Linked DNA regions of Drosophila melanogaster. The protein of the gene in region 1 purifies or fractionates together with the protein of each later gene. This does not show direct contact. Each region holds a gene or a part of one and is shown in the gene's direction. Other genes may lie near its edges.

Region 1 (7,842 bases):
TACAGTCGGTTGTGTAGTTATTTGATATGTCTAGCTGCGGCAACTCAATCTCCGTGTTAACCACAAGTGGGTCGGTCATGTTCCAAATGAAAACCAAATCTTCCACCGTATGGGATACTGCCAATCAAAACTCGGTTCAACACAGATTATTTGTAATTCGAGAAGCGGAATGGAAAGTTCCAAGCGATACGGGATTTGCAGGGTGTAGATAACCATTACATTTCCACCTACAACTCTCGATCATCATGGAGCAGATTTGCGTGTCATGCGGATAGGACTCAAACTTCATGGCGCACGACAGGACCAACGTGAGTTTGGACATATAGAGCAGCGTTTTGTCGTGGTACAGCCAGAGATAGTGATTGGGAATGCTCATCTCATGGAAGGTGACCTTTTTGGCGTTCTTAAAGAAGCAATCGGGCCGCCAAATGCTGTGCAACCAGTCGACATCCAATATGCGATACTGCTCACTCATGTTCTCAGGCAACCGCAGGCGAGGATCACGCCAGCTTTGTGCAAGGAAGATGTCCGTCACATAGGTCTAAAGGAGCATGATAAGCCAATTAGTGTTTGCTGAGTGATGAGTATTGAAAAGATGAACACATTCTACTGACCATAGACTCCTCGTTAATGGAGTCCAGGGAGAGGACCGTGACATGGAAGTAGACTACTGTGGGCTGGCCGAGGAGCTTGGGAGCCCGGTTCTTGTCGTACGTCTTTGAGGGAATGGGCAAAATGTCCGGGAGCGAAAGACTCGACTCGTAGTGGGAGACCAGCTCGGCGCTCTCCGTGTTATTTCTGCATATGTGGAACAGAACAGCCCTGTGGCGTAAATCTGATGAAACTGGGCAAACGCACTCGGACTCACCTGTAACCATGAACACAATGGCAGTGCTGGATCGATTGCTCCAGCGCGTGCAAATATATTGCCAACGCAATCAGGCACCTGAATTCTACCAATTTGCTAGTTGGGCTTTGCATTATGAACACACTACCTTCGGCTTTGATATTGTTCCTCTGGCACTCATTGCTCCGCAGTCCATGTCAATTCCCAAAGTAGCTCATCTCTGGGTGCGCTTGAGAATGAACTTGCTCGGAGGATTAGTAAGCGAGGAATTATATTTTACTCGTCGCGCAGCAAAAACCAATAAAGAAACGGCAGAGTTATCGCGACGATTGTGATGTGCTGCAAAGTGTGATAAATTGATTTCTAAGGTTTCATTCGCTTTCATTGGCATTCGCCCACACTACACTACTTTTCAAATTGACAACTGACCCCGGTTAGCGAAATGGCAAAGAGGAAATGATGTTCGCACCCACTGACAAGGGCATTAATTTAAATGTCCACTCTGTATTTGCGAATAATATCTGTGAAATATGAAAAACCGTTTGACTGCGCGAAACAAGCGAACTGGGCGCCAACTGTCGATGTCAAAAATGGGTTTATCGGCATGTTCCGGCATTTGCTTTCGAAGTACGTTTTCACAAACTGTTCTGGGTTTGCTCTTAACTTTAAATCCCAATTTTCTTGAAATGCAAATACGTGCTCTACAATATTTTAAATAAAAGCCGAATACAAACTTGTCTTAAAATTGAATTAACTCTTCAGGAACATTTTACATAATGTGTTAAATAATTGTTGAATTTTAAAATTTACAAAAATATTATTTGAAAACCGGAACTTCCCGTTGCTGTAACAGGCCGCGTTGCCAACCTCTTCTCTTATCTGGCAGCTCTGGCGCGCAATCAGCTGTTCGCGGAACTGGCAACTCTATGAGGTCAAAATATTGATTGTTTCACTTGCCAAGACGTTTTTTTTTGGCAATTCTAAAATGTACAAGTGGCGATAAATCTGCACATAAAACTCTTAAAGCAAGCGTAAAAGGAAACGTAAACCACCCAGATCGACAGTAACATGGAATCCTGCGATACAATCGCAGGTGAGTGACAGAAGCAGCGGTGTGTGAATTTAATCCCGGTGCGATTTTCAAGGGGGTGCTGGGTCAGGGGTCATTTTCCTTTGTGCACTGGCGCGATTTGCTGCGGCGCATTGTGCAACTTGTGGATATTGATTAATAGCAAGAACGCCGAGATACACAAATAATGGTTTACCGACTTTTACAATTTTCCGTAGGTTAATAGACGAAAATCACTGCGTAGATAACTCTTGACAAGTGCGAAAATCGAAACGACCATGGAATCACCTCTGTTGCCCAAGGCCAACAACAATTTGGGCATGGACAAGATGAGCTCCAGCTTGAACAGCAGCACCATGGAGGACACCACGCCCAGCGATTCGGGAGTACAACTCCTGGACTCGGAAAACAGCGATGTGATGGTGGAGTCCATTTGCTCCTACGAGGAAAACGTTAGACCGATGCCCCTCCCTTTGGTGGATCCCAACTCCAATGTGACTGCAGCGCCGGATGAGTCTATGACCATTAGCGAGTGCTCTACGTTCGACACCACGGAGAAGATTGTATACCGTCGCAAAGTGCACAAAGCTTCGTCCGCCTCCAAAACTCCCAAAAAGCGAGTGTCCTTCCACGAGGACATACTGAAGAACACTCGTACCGACAACATTCACATTGAGCATGGCTTTATCACCTACAAGAACGGACGCAAGTTGGCCTTCGCTAACTCAGCGGGCGTGGCCGGCGCTCCAGGACGATATTCCTGGTGTCCGGATCGGGAACGTCCGGAGGGACCTAATGAACTCAGTGCCGCTGGCAGGGAAGACGATGGCGAGGAGGCTACCGGTGGCGGAGGTGCCAGGCGAAAGAGACATCTGGTCTACCGAAATGCCTGCTCGGATGTGCTGGACTACGACAACATTTTTGACACGGACGAGGCGCCCGGTCTGCACTATGACACCTCAGGTGTCTTTGAGTACGGCCCTGCGACCCAAAAACAGGAAGAGCAACCCCAACTTTACAAGTGCGTGTGCAGCAGTTCCAACTCCAGTTTGGATTCCGACGAACAAGACAAAAATTCCAATGCGAATTGTAAGCAGTACGAGCAGGCTAAGAGCAGCTCATGTGATTGCATTGGTATGAGCAATGCTAACAACAATCTAATCGGTAAGCTATATAACATTCTGCTTAAATCCTTGTGATGTATATCCACATTAATCTTTATCCCACAATTAGGTGACAATTGCTACTATTCAGAGCCCAATATCGGAGATGCTGACAGTCCCAAAGTCAAGTCCGTATGGAATAAGGAGAAGAAGCCGAAATCAAGCTGCTTAAAGAAAACTAAGCTACATACAAATGTCATACTCGAGCAGGATCTCAATGGGCGGGTAAAAAAGTTTAACGTGCACGACATTAAGCACCAACTGCTCGACAACAGTAGCAAGATGATATTTGGATCGCTAAAGAGCATCTTTACCATGCCATTGCCGGAGCGCGGAGTTCCCGAGGGCTCCGAAGACCTGCAGGCGGTGGTGGAATGCGTCCCTGAGCTGGAACAGACACCAGAGCACAAATCGCGGCCGGCGGCCGAGTCACCGCCTCTTAGAGCTAAGCCATTCCTCAGCAAGAGTCTCGACGGCAGCAAGCAGGCACAACCAGTTAAGAAATTCGTGCACAACGTTGATGAGCAATTGCGGCATAAGAACGAAGACGATGGTGCCAGCTCCACGGAAGCCTCGCCGATGGAGTCAAAACAGTCACTGATGTTGCATCGCCAAGAGGAATTCGATAAGGAAACAGTGCCAATGGGCAGCGCACAGGGCGAGTTCCGCAGCAAGTTTATAATTAATTGTGAGAGCACTGTTTTCGAACACACCGGAGTATCCTACGAGACGGGGGATCTGCAATCCGAACTCTCATCCGGTATTCAGCACACCAGTGTAGCCAGTCTGCTCGAGCAAAACACTCCCATCGCAGAGCCGGCCGCTAGTCAAATTAAGAAATCATTTTTGGATGCTCCCATTGCCAAGACGTTTAGTAATTTCTTTCGAAGCTTCAAAGACAGCACACCAGTTGCAAAGGACGAGCAAGCAGTCACAGATAACTATTTTGGTGAGCAAATAATATTCATTTGAATTAATATTTTCCCCGATGACTAACACTGTTCATTATGCTTATATAGCTTCAAAAATCGCTAAGCCGCAGCAACAAGCACCAGCCGCGGGCAAACTTCAGCGCAACTTTTCCTCATCAACCATATCCGAACCTAGTTCGAACACCAACACCAGCAGCAACCATCAAATCGCAATGAATCCGCAGCTGGGCAACGCGGAGCGTCAGTCTCGACACCTTCCTTCACCGCTCAAGAAGCGTGGACAACCCTTACAGCCGCCCCGTTACTACGACCAACAGCATCCTCACCAAAGTCGGAGCCTCCACAGCCCCAGTGCCTACCTAGCCGCTGGACGCGGAGGACCAGGAGGTAGTGGTCGCGACTCAAAGAGCACTATTCTCAGCGAAGAGTTTGACGACATACTAACTATAACCACTACAGATACAACTAATGCGCGCTCAATGGACAGCGATTTGGTCATCGTAGACTACACAGATGTGGACTATGCTCACTTACTGAAGCCGCCAGCTCCGGCGGCCAAAACTTCACTTATAAATAGGTTCCTTCGTAATGTCACACAGAAGAAAATAATGGAAACCTCCATACGCAAGAACAATTTCTTTGCCGATAAATTGAGAACCGAACAGAGGCATGCCGGATCCGATCTGTATGTGAAGGGTGCTCGGCCAAAGAACTACGAGCTTATAGATGACTTAAATGCAGAGATTGCCATGGAGATTGAGATGTGTGGCACGAATTCGCCGCGACGGGAACTTGCCATTAGTTTGGATAACGATTTCCAAGGCAACTTGTCCAATTTCGAACTTGGCATTGGGGAGATCTCAATTGATGTATTCAAAGGAAAGTCCTTGTTCAATCTGAAACAATCAAATGAGCAGCTAATGAAGGTAGATTGTAATTGTGTAGCAAATAGCAATCAATTATAAAAACTTATCATTTCAGGCTTTCAAACTGTATACAGGCTACAATGTAGATGGCATCATGACACCTGTACTTGTCCTACTCACTGATAAAACTCTGTATGTGGTGAATATGGAAGGAAATAGTCTGTGTGTCAAGTTTGTTTTGGCCTACAAGGACTTGGATGTCATACTGGTAAATGTTAACGGATGACATTGCTGTGATATATTAGTTAATGCAACATCATTTTTTAGATGGGACCTTTTGGCAACACAGTTTTGCTCAGCAACAGTAATCGAGACATGCAGCAGGTCCTGCTCGCGGGTGGTCCGTATCCAGCCGGATCCCTGGTAGCCAACCTGGAGTTGTGTGCCCGACGCAGTGGATCCACTCTGCCTGCAGTTGGTCAGCTGACTCTAGAACATTTGGCTCCACTGCAGGCTTTTGTGCGTGCCAACAGCTGTGTTGGCGTAGCAGAACATTGGATGCTCTATGCAGTGGTTAATGTGCCAGCTGGAGGGTCAATGAGAGTCGAATCGCCAAGCGAACTGCTGGGACCTTCAATGAAGGGATTCCTCATGCATCGAAGACTTAGGCAGACGATCAGCACTTCAGCAGCGAACAGAATATTTTGGCAACCAGGATACTTTTTACTGAAGTTCGTAACTCTCGATATTTGAAGGAATTCAATTTAATATGTGTTCATTTCTTAGAGCTGGCGTATTGTATATGTTCAACGATTCCACCCAAAGGCTTCCCAGCTGGGCCATGGCCCTCGCCGAGTGTCAGGGCGCCCGGCGAACTGTGAAATCAGAGCGCCCCCACTGCTTCGAGATTACGCTAAAGGGCGAAGTCCTGCAAATGGCTGCGCCCGACGAGTATGTAGCCTCCGAGTGGCTCCAGGCTCTTTTGCAATCAGCCAGTGGCGTAAGTAGACAATTAATATTAGAAGATTTGTTTTAACTTTTTGTTGTGTTTAGCTTGTGGTTCAAGAGGAGAAGCACAAAACCCTTGGATGCACGTTGATCGTCACGGATAACCATTTAATAACCCTGCGTGAAGACTTTTCGGCTCCTCTACGAAAAATAAGCCAGCAGGCGGATAACAATGCAGCCGTTCAGGGAAATAAAGAAACCATGCTTGAGGAGGATATGCTCAGTGTTTTTGAAACCAGTAGCTTAGTAAGTGCGCTTATTGTATTAGCAAATCAAACTTCGTAATCATTTGGACTTAAAATTTTAGATGGGTTCCACCATTAGTACTCCTACCCGTGGCACTCAACATTCATATTCCTCGTTAAGCTCTACGCCTACTAAGCAAACAAACGAAGATGCAGCTCCGAAAGAAACTGTAGCTTCGCCGGAAAAATCACAAAGAATGACCAGTGTTTACGGAAAGAACTCCGGTTTAGCCATACTAACTTGTGCGGACATCAAAGAGATGACTGGCATTAAGATAACCTCGCGGAGCGAGACTTGGTGGTGCATTCTGGAGTTCTCCTGCCAGGAGGCACCATTGGAAAACCAGGACGATTTGGTTATATTCTTTGCCAGCAGCATGGAAATGCAACGTTTCCTGCGGTTGCTAGAGCAGCTTTGGCAGTCTAAGAATGTATGTTTCTCGTTGACTACTAAACCTTTCCTTAGCAATAACGAAATATTCTAATTTTACAGAACGATCTATTTCCAATAACCATACTAGACGACGGTGACTCTCTGGCCGAGCAATATAATAAACTTTATATGGACACAAATAGGGCCTGGGAGCCTTTGCTATCAGCTGCGCTGGGTTAACGTGGCTCTGGCCATATATACTCCATTTACAAATAGAAAATTATATTTCCATATACATTACTCAAGCGTTAAATATTCTATCCTGAATACTCAAATAGCTAAAGAACAAAAAGTATTGATATTTATATAGTCTGTATGTATTATGTATTATGATTTTGTAATGCGTGCCTCCGCTTGACTCATTCATTCGTTTGCGCTTAGTAACATCTCATTTGAATAATTTTTGTGATATTAAACTTAAAGTCGCTGATCTTTGGTATGCTCTTTTGTAGGATATTTAGTTTCTATTGATTTTCTACATTCGTTATTTCTTACCTTTTATAAATACATTGTGTACAAATATTGCACAGATAATAAGAAACAAAATATTATACATAATCTAACTTATACGAATATTGGACATGTAATCAATCGGTAATGTTATGTTTTGGGGGTGCTCTTTTGGTCCAAGGATCATATCCATATGATATACGACAAACAATATGTGGCTATTTATAAAATAAACAAAACAAACATTTATAAATGTGTATTAGGAAAAGTGTGCATGGTGGACTTAATCTTATTTTGCAATGCTGTGCCTCTCCTTTTCAATTAGCATAGATTAAATTCCCCTCCCAACGCCCGACATTTCGCTGTAAGCCTTTCAGCCCACTAAAAGCTCATGATAATTAATAAAACCAATAAACGCCATTACAAAACGAATTTTTATTTATTCTGAGCTCGCTGATGGTCCTTGACATTTTCAATAATTGCAAGTGGTGAAAGGGTTTACAGAGGAAAGGGTTTTCTGGGCTCTAAGTCGGGTTTATGCTGTGTGGGACCCTATATTCCGAATGAGTGTGGGGGAGATGGAGTGGGGGTCTGGAGAGGATGCTGAATAAGGAAACAAGTTACATACAAATAACCTAACATCAACATACATTGTGTACATGTGCACAACTATGTACATACATATGTATATGTACATCGGTATATCGAAGTATCTGCAGGTACATTCTGTACCCATGAGTGTGAGAGTATCAAAATATTTGATAGTGCCGGTGATCGAGTTTTCTAACTATTATTCGATACTCAGAATATTTGTATCTTCCGTCGATCG
Region 2 (4,854 bases), on another chromosome or scaffold:
GTCTTTTGCAATAAGTACACATCTGCCACGTTGATAATGATGTAGCTAATGTAAACCAAGAGTACAACTAAATTTTAAGTCAGTGCCATTACATTTTTGCGAAAAAGAGAAAATCGACTTGGGCTATTATGCTTACTGAAAAATTTAAATTCATAGCCCAATGCGAAATGGTTTGTCGTGTATGCAAAGTAATCCATCAATAAAGTCGCTAAGAGAAGAAATAAAATGTCCCGGACAGTTTCGTAGGAATTCATCTTGAAGGGCGAAATGTAGAATATTAGGCCACCGGAAATCGTAATCACAAACAGGGCTGACGACAAGTTATTGGCAAACACAGGGACATGTCGTTCAACGCTGGCCAAGTTGGCGAAAAAATCGGCAGAAGTGTTTCCAAATGCCATCAGGGTAACTCCCGCCAAATGCTCGTTCATATGAAGGAATCGGGATACGGCCTTCAGAGCAGGACTATAGCTGCAAAAGCAAGCATTTCAAGCTCAATTTTAATCTTCGCTTTAGTTAGCTACTTACTAAACATTGATTGTGTAAATTAGTAGAACCAATATCTGAAAGCAAAACGCCACGAACAAGGCGATGAAGATCATTTCCTGGAACTGATTGATACACTTCAGATCGCAGGCCAAGAGTCTCATGTATGGAATTACATTTGTGCTCGAATTGCAGTCCTCCGCTTTCTGTACGAACTCACATCGCTCCTCGAACGGAAAGTTGTTGGCCGCAAAACAGCTAACCGTTTTCCAAAAATTGTCGAATTCCGCATCCAACGCGTTTTTCACGGTAAAAACATCGGATTTGGTTGTTTTTGTGTCGATGGCCGGCATTTTAGTTTTACTTGTTTGTAGTCCGAAATCTTGGCGTTGAATTGGGTAAAAGTGAAACTAGTTCTGGGATTACTTTGATTTCCTAAGAGCTATCAGAAAAAACTAATTCAACAATTAATTCCGGCTACAATCGCTGTTTTCGATGATAATACTTGTATTTTTTTTTTTGCACTTTAAACCACTTGTTAAGCTTGTAAACTTCATAATTAAAAAAAAGTTAAATGTAATGATGAAAGATTCCCCACAGATGAGGACGTCCAGCTTCCAGCACATTCTTTTACCAAGCCCCATTCTTTAACATTTCCCTACCAAAGCCAAAACCTCCAACTTTTTACTGCCCTCCCAGCCTCGCCGTCAGATTTCAATGTCAATGTAATTACGCCGTAGAATATATACATAGTATACAAATACCTACTACCGATTACCGACTACCGCGTAACATAAAAAGCCAAAGCTTGTCCTGCGTCTCGGTGCGATGGGAAATCAATAAAAAGAATTCACTTTACGTCATCAGCTGGTGGATAAAGCCGTCGCTATAGCCACTGTGCCGGCAGCGATATGTGAAATGGCTCATAATAAGATCAAACATCGGGGAAAATTGGGGGTCTGCCACAGTGGCCGTCCGAAAAAGTGGACACCTTGCGCTAATAATGAAATTCCTTGTGCCCGCGGATGACAGACGGTCGTTTTGTTATTGCGGACCTTTTACGCTATGTGTATGAAATTTATAAAAAAAAAAATTTTCGCATACCCATATATACCATACAGCCCACACGGTTGCTGTTCTTCCAGTTTTGTACCCCGATTGCGGCGCATGCGTCCTGCTGGTGGGCTGGTCGTCGTATCCTCTGAACTTTCCCAGAACTGCTCACTGTGTCGTCTACCCTTAACGGGTGCAGTTCGTTCTGGTCTCGAGAGTCGTGCGCGAATTTCATTTCCTAAGGCCTTCCGCTGACTGGCCATCGATTTTGTGCAGAAAAGCTCAGAGTTTTCATCAGCGAAAAGTTGCCCAACCGTTTAAACAAAGCGCAGCCAAGTAAAGCAACTAACAAGTTTCAAATTAAAACAATTCGATACAGTGGCAAACTAAAACTTTATCAATTATTTGTCCCCCAAAAAAAGGAGTGAAAATTTTTCGCTGTTATACAGAAAGACAGACCCCTACACATATATACACATATACGAGAGCCTACATATATATATAATATATATTCAAAAATCCTTTAGCCAAGTCAAGAAGAAGAAACTACGCGAATGTGCGCTTTTGGTTACCTATTGTTTTTCGCCCTATTGTTAACAACAATTCTGGTGCTGTCCATTATATTCGCCACTACCTCCAAGCGATCCATGTTGGATAGCTTTGTACTAGTATTCAATTACACACAAGAACACCAGCCAGACCAAGAAATGCAGCAACAACAACAACCAACGGACTATCAGCAACAACCACAAATGTTCCTAAAACAGAAAATATTTTGAGTTCCATGGGTTAATGAGTATAATGCCCCGAAAAATAATAAAACGAAACAGAAAATCAATTGGTAAATGCTTCAAAATATATTTGCAAAATTTCATCAATTCGCTCGACCGAACATTTCAAAATTCTCGATAAAACATAGCCCATAATTACGTTTTACATAATTTTGATTCGCTAATTTTTGCCCCCCCCCATCATCTAGTGTACAGTGGCCTCCAGAGTAGTGTGCATAGTGTGTGTAGAGTGTAGAGATTTCCTGGCTCGGTGTCCATGGCAAAGGCAACTTGAAAATTTATTAATAAAGGTCAAGAAGAACGCAAGCGAACGCAAGGATATTACCCACGAATGAGACGGGGCGCGCATATGAGTGTGGTGAGAGGTCCTGCATACGGTATTAAGTGCCCGCCGTGTTGCCCCGCAGGAAGCCATAAAAAATATGACGCAGAAGGCAACAAAAGCGTGGTATTGCAAAGGACCTCGAGTGCTTAGTTCGTTTCTCAAGTGCAAATGAGGGTTGACTGTGTGACGAATAAATTTTCAAGAGCCTGGCCAGGTAAAACGAGCTAAGGACGTTGAGAAGTGGACATTCTCGAAAAGGATATAGCCTGATTTTAATTTCTTATAGTCGTTCTTTTATCGTTTCGTGCGCCTTCAACCAGCGTCAGTCTGCATATCATACAAAAAATAAATAAAATACATTACACAAATATTTAGCATATCCTATCCCACTTTCGCTCCCACACTCTCTATATATACTCTCGCCTTTCTCTGTCTTCTCTCCACATTTCTCCTGTCTCGCGCTTCTGCGCAAATCTTCCTGTGGAGACTTTTTACTGCAGGCTGTTGCACATTTGCTTTGACAGTTTGTTCGGAAAATTGAAAGAACAAAAAAAAAACATAAACAAAAGTATTTTGGTCAGGTAAACAAAGAGAGAGAGAGAAAGGACAGGAAAGAGAGAGCAATTCTCACAGCTGCGCATTGGAATGGCTTCTAAACTTGGTTTCACAATATTTCAGGACGCTAGTGTACGCGAGTGAAAGAATTTCTCAGTTGGTCAAGTGAATTTACCACTAGAAAGTTAATAAATAAAGCAAAGAGTGACAAACGAAAAAAAAAACAAATTTTACCTTATCAAACATTAACTAAAAATCAAATCACACATAAGTGCAATCGATTCCTTACAACTTATGCTATAATGAGCTTTAAGGATATAGCCGCCCAATAAGCCAGCAATCGTTTGGCCTAAACTAAAGGTAATTTAATCTCCATAAATGGTAGTTATTTGTTTTAACAAAGTTAAGAAATATATTGAAAATACGCGTTATGCATCGCCTTTAAAGGGTCCTTTCTTTCTTTTGTGGGGTGTGAGTACTTTTCTTTATTCTGCCTCTTGTATTTGCTCGATGACTCATTCGACTATTGGCCGACACTCGTCTGCGCTTTTATTGGAAGCATTTGTGGATTGTGGAATTTTTCCCCCTGCTTCAAGTGTGTGAGTGTGTGTGCGTGTGTGTGAGTCAGAGGGTAAAAACTAGAGGGAAAACTATTTGCATTAAAATCCATTACGATAAGTGATAAAACTACTGAAAAACAAACCTAAAATCTAACAAAATTATAAAGAATTTTTAACTTTCTTTAACTGTATCACTTCTTATTAAAAAAAAAGAGGAGAAAGAGAACTCACCTAGAATGTTTCGAAAGCAATAAATCTTCAATCCTTAACGTCTATTGTTTTATAAGAAATTTGTATTATAAAATAGTTGGCAATGTACCCGGCTTAGTCTTCGACGTATTGCACATATAGGACAGCAAATAATAAATTCTTAGCCCCACCCCTGGCTTCAATTCAAATTTCCCTGGCGAGTTGCCGGGGGTATGACTCATAGCTTCGAGCTGCCACAGAAACAAATCGTGGACGAGTGTATAACCATAAAGTTGGGGCAATTATAAAATGTCAGTGCTGGGCAGTGGTAGTCTCTGGCCAATTTGCAGCCCACTCGAATGACTCGAATGTCTATAAAGTATTCCCGTTCCTCTATTTCCACTCCAGTTAACCGGAAACCAGGACACCCACAGAGAGGAAGAAGGACAAGATGTCGTCGGTTAAGGTGGCGGTGCGAGTGCGCCCCTTCAACTCGCGCGAAATAGCCAGGGAGTCGAAATGCATCATCGAGATGGCAGGAGCCACAACGGGTGAGAATCCCATAAACACTCTAGATTTCTCTTAATTAAATACTTCAATCTTATGTCCTGACAGCCATCACCAATCCAAAGGTGCCGCCCAACACAAGCGATTCAGTAAAGCGCTTCAACTTTGATTACTCCTACTGGTCACATGATGTAAGTTTTATTTCGAGTCCAAGAAAAAATTTTACTTAAATTTATATTCGCATCACAGCACCACGATGCCGATTTCTCCACACAATCGATGGTGTACAAGGACATTGGCGAGGAGATGTTACAGCACTCCTTCGATGGCTACAATGTCTGTATCTTTGCCTATGGCCAGACTGGAGCTGGAAAGTCGTATACCATGA

The links.
Region 2: the proteins of prd1 (region 1) and unc-104 purify together in Drosophila melanogaster (affinity purification with western blotting; one study listed by BioGRID). This does not show direct contact.

Annotation. Positions count from the first base shown.
Region 1 is NT_033777.3:11,780,721-11,788,562, reverse strand, and holds prd1 (pruning defect 1), read left to right. Parts: upstream 1-1,548; 5' UTR 1,549-1,940; intron 1,941-2,134; 5' UTR 2,135-2,194; coding exon 2,195-3,080; intron 3,081-3,149; coding exon 3,150-4,028; intron 4,029-4,098; coding exon 4,099-4,937; intron 4,938-4,992; coding exon 4,993-5,145; intron 5,146-5,204; coding exon 5,205-5,608; intron 5,609-5,663; coding exon 5,664-5,877; intron 5,878-5,930; coding exon 5,931-6,131; intron 6,132-6,192; coding exon 6,193-6,561; intron 6,562-6,623; coding exon 6,624-6,743; 3' UTR 6,744-7,432; downstream 7,433-7,842. Other genes in the region: HisCl1 (Histamine-gated chloride channel subunit 1), read right to left, coding at 1-117, 232-541, 615-798, 869-981.
Region 2 is NT_033778.4:16,762,854-16,767,707, reverse strand, and holds the start of unc-104 (uncoordinated-104), read left to right. Parts: upstream 1-1,707; 5' UTR 1,708-1,875; exon of another isoform or gene 1,876-2,093; coding exon of another isoform or gene 2,094-2,318; exon of another isoform or gene 2,319-2,347; intron 2,348-3,333; 5' UTR 3,334-3,570; intron 3,571-4,367; 5' UTR 4,368-4,410; coding exon 4,411-4,510; intron 4,511-4,574; coding exon 4,575-4,657; intron 4,658-4,715; coding exon 4,716-4,854. Other genes in the region: CG5348 (uncharacterized protein), read right to left, coding at 1-67, 137-471, 529-839; CG42392 (uncharacterized protein), read left to right, coding at 2,094-2,318. UniProt on the Drosophila melanogaster protein: Required for presynaptic maturation, has a role in axonal transport of dense-core vesicles carrying synaptic vesicle precursors, components required for the morphological transformation of axonal growth cones to mature boutons.